3 linked regions of the Schizosaccharomyces pombe genome follow. The protein of the gene in region 2 interacts with the protein of the main gene of each other region in a pairwise test. Each region holds a gene or a part of one and is shown on either strand. Other genes may lie near its edges.

Region 1 (3,605 bases), 870 kb from region 2:
GTTCAGTTCTACGAGCAAGTTTTGGAGATACTTCGCCTATCTGCTGAGCTTACAAATTGTAATAGATTTTGTTTTATACAAATTATCATCTGCAATGGCAAGTCTTCATTATCTAAAGTTTGTGAAGATAATAGCCTTATCTTATATTTGCTTCTCTTCGCTCATACGGATTTGTCATTGCTGGACATATTTTATTCGTATTATGGGATTATCCAGCTTAAATAAGTTTGTCAATCTATTGCATGATTTTGAAACTACATCTAATCGTGTTTACTCCCAAATTTGTGAATTGGAAGCAAATTCGGCAGCAAATCGCTCCCGGTTAATGGACTTCCTTCCTGCCAATGATCCTTTATTGTTTAATCTTACGGAACAAAATACTTTAAGTTACGAACTGTCTGGTTTGTATGAGAAGCTTTTACCTAGATACCAGCTGGTTCTGTCAAGAATATATCCGTATGCAGCTGCTTCCAACCTTAGAAACCTATTATCACTATATAGACTTCCAAATTGCTTTGGTAAATTAAATTCGTTTGACCTCCGAAAAGGTTCCTCAACAAGCTTAAAACGGAGTTCCATGTACCTAGCCCGTAAAGAAAACCAAGACTTTGATGACCAATCCACCCAAATTCTCAATCACATCAAAACTGCTTATTATGAATTAACTATAATCTCTAAGCAAGTTCTATGTTGCATACTATCGTTTCCGGTTGATTCATTTTTAGCTGAAAGGTCTTCATGGCTCATTGTTCACCGGGAGGTAGGTGACCTCTCTAATGCATTGTCTGTGTCGATGGTTCGTCTCGTTGACATCTTAAAGTTTTCAGTTGAATCGGTCAACCGTAATCAACATAACACTACTAGCAAACCTTTCCCCAGGATCATGTGCAAAGAAAATTTGCGCAGTCTTTTTAACGAGTTGCACTCTGTAATGATGGAAACTCATGAGTCTATCAGCTCATATATTCAAGAAGGAGACAATACAGCTATGCAGACATATGCTATGGATGAATATGATCAAGTTGGTTTACTGCTCAAAGATTTGCTCTCTGAATGGGACTTTAATAGAGCACTACTTCTCAACTTGCAACACATGCACCGAAAGCGTAAATAATTTTGGCTTTCAGAATTTTAAACCATATTTTGCTTTTATGATCTTTTTTATCCATTATTGTCCGTTTCTGTTATACGTCTTTCGGAACCTTGTTGGTTTTAATAGTTAGGATAGTTATTATAAACTATTTACAAATCGACATTTATCTAGGTTTAAATGTCGTTCAACTCAGCAATGATGTCTTTGTTGCTTAAAAATTTGCCTTAACCTTTCGTCCTGTATAATATTTTAGTTATACCAGTTTATCTTTACACTTATGCTTATGCTACTTATTGCAGGCGCAATTTTTTAAAAAATTAAATTAACATGAATTTACTATTATTCTATGAATTTTCCTGTTTTTATGGTCAAAACTGTTAAATTTTTTAAAGTTTTGATGGCTGTAGATTTAAAGTATAGATCGCCAATCGTGCGTTTACAAGTCATGCTACAAAAAATTTACTAAATATATAATATAAACATATTTAATTGATTTTAAAAATTTTCAGTCATTAATTCTCTCTGTATTCGAGTTTGTTTAATAACTACAGTATAACAGCGCTCCATTCTTTAACCACATGTCAGTACAGTATCCACCACAACATTCTGTTCTGCTCGTCAGCAGTGGATATGACCATACCATTAGATTTTGGGAAGCCCTAAGTGGAATATGCTCGAGAACAATACAACATGCGGACTCTCAGGTAAATCGTTTATGTATTTCACCTGATAAGAAGTTTCTAGCAGCCGCCGGAAATCCTCATGTAAGATTGTACGACATAAACACTAGTAGTCAAATGCCATTAATGACCTTTGAAGGGCACACCAATAATGTTACAGCCATCGCTTTTCATTGTGATGGTAAATGGCTTGCCACATCGAGCGAGGATGGAACAGTAAAGGTGTGGGATATGAGAGCCCCTTCAGTTCAGCGAAACTATGATCATAAATCTCCTGTTAATGACTTGTTAATTCATCCAAATCAAGGTGAACTGCTTTCATGCGACCAAAGTGGACGAGTTCGTGCATGGGATTTAGGAGAGAATTCTTGTACACACGAACTTATTCCGGAAGAAGATGTACCTATGAGCAGCATTACTGTTGGATCTGATGGTAGTATGCTTATTGCTGGGAACAACAAAGGAAACTGCTACGTTTGGCGAATGCTAAATCATCAGGGTGCTTCATTGCTTCAGCCCGTTGTCAAATTTCAAGCTCATCAGCGTTATATCACTCGCTGCGTCTTGTCTCCTGATGTCAAACACCTTGCTACATGTTCTGCCGATGCTACAGTGAATATATGGAGTACGGAGGATATGTCATTTATGCTTGAGAGACGACTTCAAGGGCATCAAAGATGGGTTTGGGATTGTGCGTTTTCTGCTGATTCTACCTACTTAGTAACCGCATCTTCTGATCATGTTGCAAGGCTTTGGGAGTTATCGAGTGGTGAAACAATCCGTCAGTATTCGGGTCATCACAAAGCTGCTGTTTGTGTTGCTCTTAATGACTACCAAATTTAAGTGTTTCAAAGCATTTTTCAAAATAAGTTTACGAGTTATGTTTTGTTGTATTTTTAGCTCAACTGATGTTGGAAAATTACTTCTATATATTCAAGTTTATTACACGCCTTTATCCTATTTTACCTTTGCTATATAGATTTTATTCACCAATCTTCTTAGGAAAACAAGAGTCTTGTCTTGTCAACATTCGTTTATATTAAGTGTGTCTGATTTCAAGACGATTTCTTAGTCACTTACAAATTTTTTATAAATTATATTCTTCCCTTGATACAGTATTTGCTAGTTTCATATCTCGGAGTTTTTATGATAAATAATAGTCTTAAGTGATGATAACTTTTGAAAATTTTCAATGCTTATTAGTGTAGTTTAACTTATTTTACAACTTTTATCTCTAAACATGATAGGATTAAGTAGGAAAAGTTACATATCCTCGTGTCCTTAAATGAAATGAAATGTATATCTTCATTAGCTTTCTGGTTAGCGAAGAAGCGAATTTGATAATGCAAAATTTGAAGAATTTAGTCTCGCTAAATCTGCTAATTAACTTACCGAGACTTACCGTAGTAAGATACGAAAAAAATTTCTAGGCCGTTCGACACAGCTGACCTTAACCACAACTCACAGCCAGCACATACTTAATCTCGCGAGGAGAAAAAACCTTCGATTTATAGCTCACTCTTTCCACTAACAATGTCTACTCAACCTCTTTTACAAACTACTCCTGGTAAAAGAATTGCTCTTCCTGTTCGTGTTGAACCTAAAGTTTTTTTCGCTAATGAACGTACTTTCCTTTCTTGGTTGAGCTTTGCAGTAGTTTTGGGTGGTTTGTCAGTTGGTTTACTTAACTTTGGTGATCGAATTGGTAAGATTAGTGCAGGACTTTTCACTATTGTTGCTATTGGTACCATGGGTTATGCTCTTGGTATTTACCACTGGAGAGCATCTGCTATTCGACGACGCGGAAGTGGTCCTTACGATGATCGATTGGG
Region 2 (5,336 bases):
TGTAATTGTTTGTGAACGATTCCTCGGATTTGATTCTTCGGAAACCAGCTTGGCTTATATGAATCTTTCTCTATATGAATTCTCTCAAAAAAATGAAATGCAGGCAGTGATGCATATGCAGCATGCACTAAAGCTGTGGTATTTGGTTTTTGGACCAGATCATCCTAATACTATTAACTCATTTACTAATCTTTCTCTTATGTTACATGGCTCTGAAAAATTCATTCAGAGTCAGAAGTGTTTGCAAATTGCAGTCGATCTATCAGACAAAATTTTCGGCAAAACTACACCTACTGCTTCTCTGTATTTACAGCTGGCTCAACTAATGGTTCTTAACAAGGACAGTCGTAGCGCATTGCATGCAGTGCGCGTGGCCTACGACATATTAAAGGAAACCTTAGGGCCAGACCACCAAAATACGAAAGAAGCCGAGCATTGGCTCTCCGAATTTACTGCACTAGCTGTCAATCAAGAAAGACAATCTCGGACTTAAAATTATCACATGCATATAAAAGTCCTTTAAAAAGCATGCTCACAATTAGTGAGCTATAAAAGCATTAGGGCATTCTTCATAATTGTTTGCCAATTTAGAAAATTTGTCCAAAGGACTGATAATGACTTCGTACAGAAACGGACCATCCAAATAATAAATAAAATAACTATTAAGGTGTAAAAATCTGTAAACAAAAACAAAACAAAAGGATTATCATATCATGCGCATCTAGACAACGACGTCTATTTAATAAAACATAATTTAGGTTAATTATAGACCGTTCCCATAAAAACTACAATCCAAACCCATATCATCAAAAACATTAGGATTGTAAACATTAGCAGCAGCAAAATTTAGATCTAACTGATCCTTAAACGGGAACATTGACATTGTTTGATCTAACACGGGAGTTATATTTGCATGTAGCTCATTTTCCTGAACAGAATCAAACTTATACTGGTCATTTGTGTTAGATGAATTTTGGAGGTTTTGATGCATTTGTAAGATGCTGTTATTAAGAGAGTTCAGATACCCGCTGTTATCAAATATAGAGGAGGGAGAATTGCTTTTAACACTTGTATCTGAATGGTTGCTGGATATACGTGGTGGTACATGGCTTTGCGATTTTAGGGAAACATCCGCAATATCAGGCATGCCAGAATTAGTAACATCTTCGTTCGTAGCTAAGTTGCTGCTAAAATTGATTGCTATTTGCTTAGCCTTTTGCATAGCTGCCTGAGCAGTCGAGATCATACTTTCTAAAGCATCCATAACGACATTCAAACGAACAAAACCATGTGTTTCAAAACTTATTAAACGATTTTTTACGGAAATTAAACAATTCAAATCTTCAGAACATATAGAAGCAAGAGGCCGCTTCAATATACTGATAAAGATGATAATCGAAGATGTAAAGGCATGATACATAATGATTTTCATTATCAATGGCTGTAGATCAACCGATTCCACGAAAAGATTTGTAATGGAGCGAGCTGCCGCAATGCATAAAGCTTGAGAATCTGTTATAGAGCCAGTCCCTCTATGGACACAATTCACCTGAAGATTTTTTGTAAGAGAATGACGATGAATAAGGATTAAACATGAATAATAAATAGCAGATGTTAAAATCAGATTGCTCGAGCAAAATTTGGGAATTTTAAAACGATTCCGAGGTTGCATACAGTCGGGAAGACTGTTATACCAGTTGTTTAGCAAAAGGTCAAACTCAAGTATTTTTTCCATAACTTGAGAAGAATTAGACTTCATGCCACTCACTGAGTATAGTTCCTTTAGGACTTGGCCAACAATTCGCGTTAACTGCACCTCGGCTTCCAAAAAGTTAAAAGTACCCAAAGGATCTCCTTCGGGTGGCTTAAGTCCATAATAGCAATAAATAGAGTAAAATGGCACCATTTGATCAATGTCATCGTCCTGAAAAGCAACGGGTTTTCCTGTCATCATCGAGGATACTCTATCCAAATAATATATATACCAAAACAAACGAGCTTTCTCTTCCGCATCCTCCTTTCCAATAGACCACATTGCACTGTTTCGATGAAGACCTAGCGTTTGTGCAACTCTAACGACTACACCAACGTTCAACCAGACCGCATTTGGTTTGGAAACTGCGCAATAATAGACTGAAGTAAGAAAATTGAAGACCAGAGTACGGAAGCTCATATCTTTAGTAACTTCAATACTGATTCCGAGAGTGTTTTTAAATAGAGCATTAGCTCGGGAAACTTGCTCTTCAGTATCCGCTATAGCAAGACAACCAAGAGATAAAACAACAACGTATGAAGCATAATTAACCAGATCAATGGAACCATCGGGTTTTTTGAAACAATTTGGGGAACCAAATTTTTGGTAAAAATTTTCTCTTGTAAAAACAGGAAATAAAGGATTGTATGATTTGAAGTAGGCATCTATGTATATATTGGCAATCTCTGAAGAAGGTAATTCGGCTTTTGAGCCATCGAAACTCTCATCAGGATCAAACAAACAACCCGATTTAGCCATGGACAGATGCTCTAAAACTTTATCGGATTCAACTCCTGATGCAAATTTTGCAGCATGTTGAATAATGGAAAAGGTAGATGAAGAGCCGAAATATTTTTGAGAACCGATCGGAGTAGTGACGAGAGTCCCCATTTTTTCATTCAAAAACGCTATATCGTCGGTGGAGTCATCGGAAGAAGTTTCGCCTTTCGTACAGTTTAGATCATGATAGTTTTTGGGAGTAGAGGAGGGATGTATAATATCAGGCTGCTGGTCGTAGTTCGGAATTACGGATCTCAGAGTAGACTCCATTTGTTCTAATCTAGAAACGAGCGACTTAATGTACATTTGTCTCTGACCTGTTCTTCTTTTAGGTCTAGCTGTAAATACGCATGGGATTCCGTGACTAACGCAATTCGAACATGCAGGTTGCTTTCCATCACAGCGAATCTTCCTTTTTCTACACATGTCACAAGCTCTAGGAATTCTTTTTGGTTTCCCCATGTTATCCCCGTGGCGAGGTGAGTCTTCCTCCGGCGATGCTGATTTCAAATTTTCCATCCGGTAACAATTTTTTCAATGTACAAGTGCAACGACAGTCGATTAGCAAATATTAAGATATGCCAAAGATATTAAAAAATAGAATAAAAAAGCCAATCACTTAGCAATACCTACAATATAGGACGTTCGTTTTCTGAGTAGTTAAAATGTGCGGGTCCAAAAAATGTTCCTTAAAAAGTATTTTCAGTAAGCGATTTATTATGAAATAAAGCTTTCATTTATAAATTAAGCACCAATTATTCGTTTTTAACAATTCCGATAAAAATTTTTAACCAAGTTGTGTTAGTCACGTTGATGCGTGTAGATTACTATATCAATCCGATTTTACGAAACTTATCGTGCTGAGCAATTGGGAATAAATGTAGAAAAAATACAGAAGCTCATTAATTTTGATGAAAGTCGTTCAAATTTTGATTTAATTTCATTATTAAATACTGAAATTAAATAATCAAAATAGTTTTTGCGAACAAAAACTAAGTTATACAGGTAGGTACATTTACCACATACCTGAGGGGTAGCATTAGAAAAACAGAACGAAAAGTTACATAAATTAAAAATAAAGCTTTTTGTTTTCTTTGGAAACGGATCAAAATTGAATTAAGACGGATCGGAGGAAGTCCGAAGTCCGACTTCTCAAAAAACATCTCATCCCTACATTGCAAACATAAAAGTTCGACACTAGATTTCAGAAAGCTTTTGCGAAAAAGAAAATTAAAAAAAAGCTTTTTCAATTTAATTTTGCTTTCATAAACTCGCCAAACTCCAAAAGCTATAAATTATAAGTTCCAACTTACCAATGACTGTAAATCAGTGAGGTGAAATAAATTGCTTTTTCTTTTAATGGTCTGTCGTTCATTCATAACACCGATTTAAATGAACAAAAGAAAAAAAAATCCTTTTGTTCTATTTGTCGTACAAAGTAATTCATGCCCAGTCTAAAATAAAGTGAAGTTCGTAGAGAAAAAGAAATGTGGGACAAGCAAGACTATCCTTTGTTAAACCAAATAGAAATTTAAAAGTTCCTCAAGAATATGCCATTTAACCTCCAAGATCGGATATCCAGGTTAAAGAGATCTGAAAACCATGACCAATCGAACCCGGTATAAATTAGTATGAGTTAACGCGATATGCACCACATGAGTTCAACGTTTCTAGTTTTCATTATTCGAAAAAATATGAAATTCTTCCTGCTAAAACACTATACTAAATGTTCATATGTTATTATTGTTCAAAAAACAAGGCAAAAAATTTAACATAACGCTCCACAATAAAAAAAAGATTTGAAACATGTAATTCTAGAGGTTATGTGTATCCCAATCAACGTTAATGATAACACGTGTCTTGAAATGAGTATGCATTAAAACGGAAATATAATATGGATATAAGCAGACAGGAAAGTACGCACGTGAACAACCATTAAATTAATTCCTTCAAGTATTACGATTTCCTTTGGATATCTGAATCCTTCATAGACACATGCTTTCGACGCCAATCCTTAAAATATTAAAAAAAACAAAAATAAATTTTACATCAAAATACAACAAAACTTCTCTAATTTGGAACCTTTCTTTTTAGGAGGTTTTTCACTTTTTTCAGAAGGTTTTTCTTTAGGTACTGGTGTTGCACTAGCAGCTGGTTGTGTATAGTCTCTGGTTACATGAGGTGGCATTTCAGATTCGTGGACACTCAAAGAATTCTGAATTGACGGAGCAGCTGGAGGATCTGGTGACCCATCACCAAGGGCGGGTACAGAAGCCGAAGGCAAAGGTGAGCTTCTTGAGTAAGTAGGTCGTTTCGGTGAAACTTGAGGTGTAGGAGTTAAATTGGCGTAGTTAGGTTGGTTCAAATTCACAGTGGAATCATTGGCATCCGATTGAGGAATATCTGACTCCTGCTCATCTTCAGTATTGGTGGAAGTAAAACGTGGAAATGGACTCCCAGTATTCGGTTGAGGTTGAAAAGAACGCATTGATTGAGAAATGGCTTCCGAAGATGCTGTACTAGCGTTGTCTTCAGAATGAGTGTCTACATCATATACAATAGGAGAATCACTCCTCGAAATGCGATTCGGTGTTGATTGCGTCTGCGCGCCAACCTGGAAAGGTCGATCTGCATCATTGTAGGAAGATTGAAAAGACGATTTACGAGATTCAGAATCGGTTTCTGCAACCTTCTTGGGATTTTGAGAAGGCGAATAAGTAACGGCGGCTTTGAGAGACTCATATTCAACTGAAGAAGCAGGTACGGGAGACGACATATCTGGCACAGATACAGGTCGAGCCTT
Region 3 (3,898 bases), on a different chromosome or scaffold from region 2:
TCCTGTTTGGAAATCCGTCTCCAGGCAAGCCAAAGATCTGATATCAAATCTTTTAAAAACGAATCCCCCAGATCGGTTCACAGTCAAACAATGTCTTTCCCATCCCTGGTTCGCGCGACATAGTAGTCGTCTCACCAAATTATATGAAACTCGTATTCTCAAACCTCTTAAACATTCCCGGCTATAGCCACGTAAGAAAATATTCGATAAACTTGATAAAACGATCGAAGTTTCTCCACATAAAAGCTATGTGTCTGAACTATGTAATTCTAACATTACTTAATTAAGTTATTTTTAGCTATAAACTATAAAATATGAACACATTTAATCTTTAGAATTAATCAGGCAATCCAACTTACGCAATTAATATAAAGAAATTTTATTACTTAAGATATGAGTGACCATCAATTTGTCAGCCATTTTCCCTACCTTAAAAAAAAACAATTTTTAGTCTCAATCAGCGTAAATTTGGTATTTTATAGATATAAGCATCCTTTTTTTTTTAATAGCTTAAAAAAACTTTATAAAAAGATAATCCTCTCCCTCCGGGATTCGAACCCGGGCTGCAAGCGTGACAGGCTTGTGTACTACCCCTATACTAAAGGAGATTATTGACCTTGTGTATAATGTAGCCTTATATTAGGTTTTTTATGTATTAAATGGCTTTTAAAATACTGTGAAATTAAATAAAAGAAGCTGTAGAAGATTTGCTGTACTTAAAGTTATCCGGATCATGAAATTTAAGGGAGAGAAAGCAGGCGTGGCTCTGTACATATGATTGATCTTGTTGGAGCTTTTCTGCTACCAATATTTTGATTATTGTTTACAAATTTGTTGTCATCTTTAACAAATCCAATTAACACTTGTGTCAGGTGTTGTTCTTGGTTTGAATTTAATACAAGCTATAGCACTTCTTGTGACTGATTTAATGGATGACAGTAGACATGTTGCATGCAACTACAGTTTTCAATAGCTTTAGCTAAGATGAAGTAATACCCTGGCTAAAAACGTTCAACCAAACTCAATGTTAATTTATTCATCTACTAACGATTATGTTATTATAGCTAACAGTTGTGTCATATTAATGAAACATAAATTTGACAAAAAAATTTGGGAAATACGATAATTCAAGCAAAGATATATTAAATTAAATTAAAATTTTATAAAAAAGCAATGTTATAGAACATCCAAAAAATCAGATCGAATGAGAAAAGATTTATCCAGAGTTTGGTAAAATTACTTGAAAACGTCAAATTCTCTTTCCAGGCTAATTAAGTTAAAACATTTTATGCCGCAAAAATTCCGCATTTATTTACACTAAAATCACATAATATAGCTGCTTTTTGTTCAAATATAATTATGATTTCATGAAATTAATTCAACATAACATTACTCGTTAAATAATTTTTATTCAATATTGGTCGACCTAAGGACAGTATAAATTTCCAAATAGCACAAGAGAGAGTGTAAATATATTTTAAAAAAATTCATTTAATTATTATCAACTTTAACGGCTCATAGATTATAAAATCAGGTCAATCTGCATTAATTCAAAAATATTTAACGAGGTATAACGGTTTTATGCGTACCACTTTAATGAACTGTAAAGATTCACGAATGTGTGATAGTATAATATTAACAACGGATACAGGTCAGTACCCGTAAAACATTCCTGTCTTCAACATTGTACCACCAATTTTACTCATAATACAGAACTCATTAAAAGAAGCTTTGATCTACTTCTGCAAAAATTTGGATTGTCAAATCTTCTCCTGTTAGCATAAATTCTTCTCTAGCTATAATTAGAAATCATTTGATAAGTTTGCATCCATTTTCTTTATTATAGATTGCAACTGGTTTATTTTATTGTAATCTCGTTTTTACTCACAAACTATTAAAAATTATCTATCATCATGTCTATGCCCATTGTTCGTGAAGTTAATAGTGATGGTTCCATGTTGCAGCCCTTTAGCAATCCCTTGTGGGTGCCTACTCCAGTTGGTAGATCGGGTAGAAAGCATAGAACGCTTAAGATGTGTATTGTATTACCAGACACTGGGTACGATGTTACTCAGGTTTGCGATCCTTGGCAATTTTTTGTAAAGGAGGGATTCATGGTTAATTTTGCTACTTTGACTGGTATTGTTGCTCAAGCCGATCAGCGCCTTTTAAGTGGAGTGAAATCTTGGTTCATCGGTGCCACATACAAGACTAAGGATATTTATGAAAGAATGTCAACTACCAAAGAATTTTTAAGTCCTTCAAATATGTCTGATATGAGCTTTACCTTTGAAAACTTTGACTTGGTTTATGTGCCAGGAGGGCAGGATCCCGCTGTTTTAGAACTTGTAGAGTCTCCTCGTCTCAGTTCATTGTTAGCTGACTATATACCTTTATGTGCCCGTGTTAGTGGCACCCGCGTTTTAGCAACAATGGCTCAAGGAGCAATCGCTGTTCAGCGGGCTGCTCCCAATCTTGAGATTAAATCGACTACGACTCCACTTTATATGGAAAGAGCGTCTTATTTATTTGGCGCATCTAATCCTCCGGCTTATACTTATACTTATATTCCTGAATCGAAATACGTACCAGGGCCCAAAACTGCTCACTGGGTTTATTCGGACGAAAAGTTTTTCTATGCTTCCGGTCGTTACTCTGGCGATGTTGAACTACTTTGTAAAGCTTTACGAAATCTCGTAGCAAGTGCATTGCATTAATCTTTCTTATTTGTCTTTACTATTTTATCTTATACTAAACGTGTTAATTATTTCTTTGTTGAGTTTCCCAGATTCTATTTTAATTTCATATTCTATAAATTTCATATTTCTGCGTATTTAGAGTTATATTGCAATAAAGATAATTCAATTTGCGAGTTTGGCTTTTGTTTGATTTGGAGCATTTTATGGCCCTTGTTTATCGTTCATTTTTAGTCCTAGAACTCTAAAAGTGTATTAGACCTGTTTTAGACTGTACCGTTCAATACCGTCGAGGCATTGAATTTTTACAAACATGCCAGAACCCTTCAAAATAAGAACTGTCACATGGAACTCTTTATTTTCATTGAGGCCGGATGCCAAATGCTAATTTGAAATGCTCTTTTAGACAGCTAATGCAAACGGTTCGGGTCTAAATTTGATATTCTTTTTTTAATTAGAAAAACCAATGTTAAATTAATGAAATTTTCGAATCTGTTGATTAAATTTTTCGATAGTGTTTCAATCTATAAGCTCCTGTGCTTAACAAAGTGCAATAACTAAAAAATAATTATATTAACGTGAGGAAAATAATGTTGACATAATAGTACCTACTGATGCTGCACTCGTATCTAGATTCATAAATCATCATGCCAAACGACATTCATAAAGTTTGACCTTAAGGTCATTTTTTATATATCTAACCGTATTTTATAAGGCAATGTCATCTGAAAAAACCCCGATCCATTCCCAAGCACGATTTTTTGCCAAGCGCTCACTGTCCCATACCTTTACGCTTACCATTCCTTCAAGGACTGAAACCACCTTTTCCCATATTTCTAATTGAATTGACAAAGGGAGATGTACAAGTTCAAAAAGGCCCTTGTCATCTGCGACTCCAGATACAAAACAGTCAGAACGTAGCTGCACGACTTCTACACGAGGATTGACAGAAAAATCTGTCAAGGACTTTAGCTTGGTTTTTTGTAGCTTAGCAATACAATGTGAAACGCATACGGAGACTCCATGCTTTACTACATGCTTCTTGGCATAGACTCTTATTCGCCATACAACGGTACCGGTAATAGCTGCCAATATACCAATCAACAAGTAAATTCGCCAACAGGATATAACTGCTGAAGTCAAATACTTCATTAAGGAAACTGTATGAGAGTAGACAGATCGCAAACAATTAGTCGGAAATT

The links.
Region 1: the proteins of prt1 (region 2) and wat1 interact in a two-hybrid assay, tested with the Schizosaccharomyces pombe proteins (one large-scale study listed by BioGRID).
Region 3: the proteins of prt1 (region 2) and SPOM_SPAC14C4.04 interact in a two-hybrid assay, tested with the Schizosaccharomyces pombe proteins (one large-scale study listed by BioGRID).

What each region holds. Positions count from the first base shown.
Region 1 is NC_003423.3:1,661,276-1,664,880, forward strand, and holds wat1 (TORC1/2 complex WD repeat protein Wat1/Lst8), read left to right. Parts: upstream 1-1,665; 5' UTR 1,666-1,671; coding exon 1,672-2,616; 3' UTR 2,617-3,085; downstream 3,086-3,605. Other genes in the region: myosin-binding vezatin family protein Inp2, read left to right, coding at 1-1,114; vacuolar transporter chaperone (VTC) complex, GTPase regulator subunit Nrf1, read left to right, coding at 3,307-3,605. UniProt on the Schizosaccharomyces pombe protein: component of both TORC1 and TORC2, which regulate multiple cellular processes to control cell growth in response to environmental signals. Nutrient limitation and environmental stress signals cause inactivation of TORC1.
Region 2 is NC_003423.3:794,299-799,634, reverse strand, and holds prt1 (transcription factor), read right to left. Parts: upstream 3,337-5,336; 5' UTR 3,053-3,336; coding exon 764-3,052; 3' UTR 641-763; downstream 1-640. Other genes in the region: Tea1-anchoring protein Mod5, read right to left, coding at 4,578-5,336.
Region 3 is NC_003424.3:5,232,380-5,236,277, forward strand, and holds SPOM_SPAC14C4.04 (uncharacterized protein), read left to right. Parts: upstream 1-1,680; 5' UTR 1,681-1,913; coding exon 1,914-2,717; 3' UTR 2,718-3,282; downstream 3,283-3,898. Other genes in the region: mek1 (meiosis-specific serine/threonine protein kinase), read left to right, coding at 1-187; LEM domain-containing protein Man1, read right to left, coding at 3,405-3,898.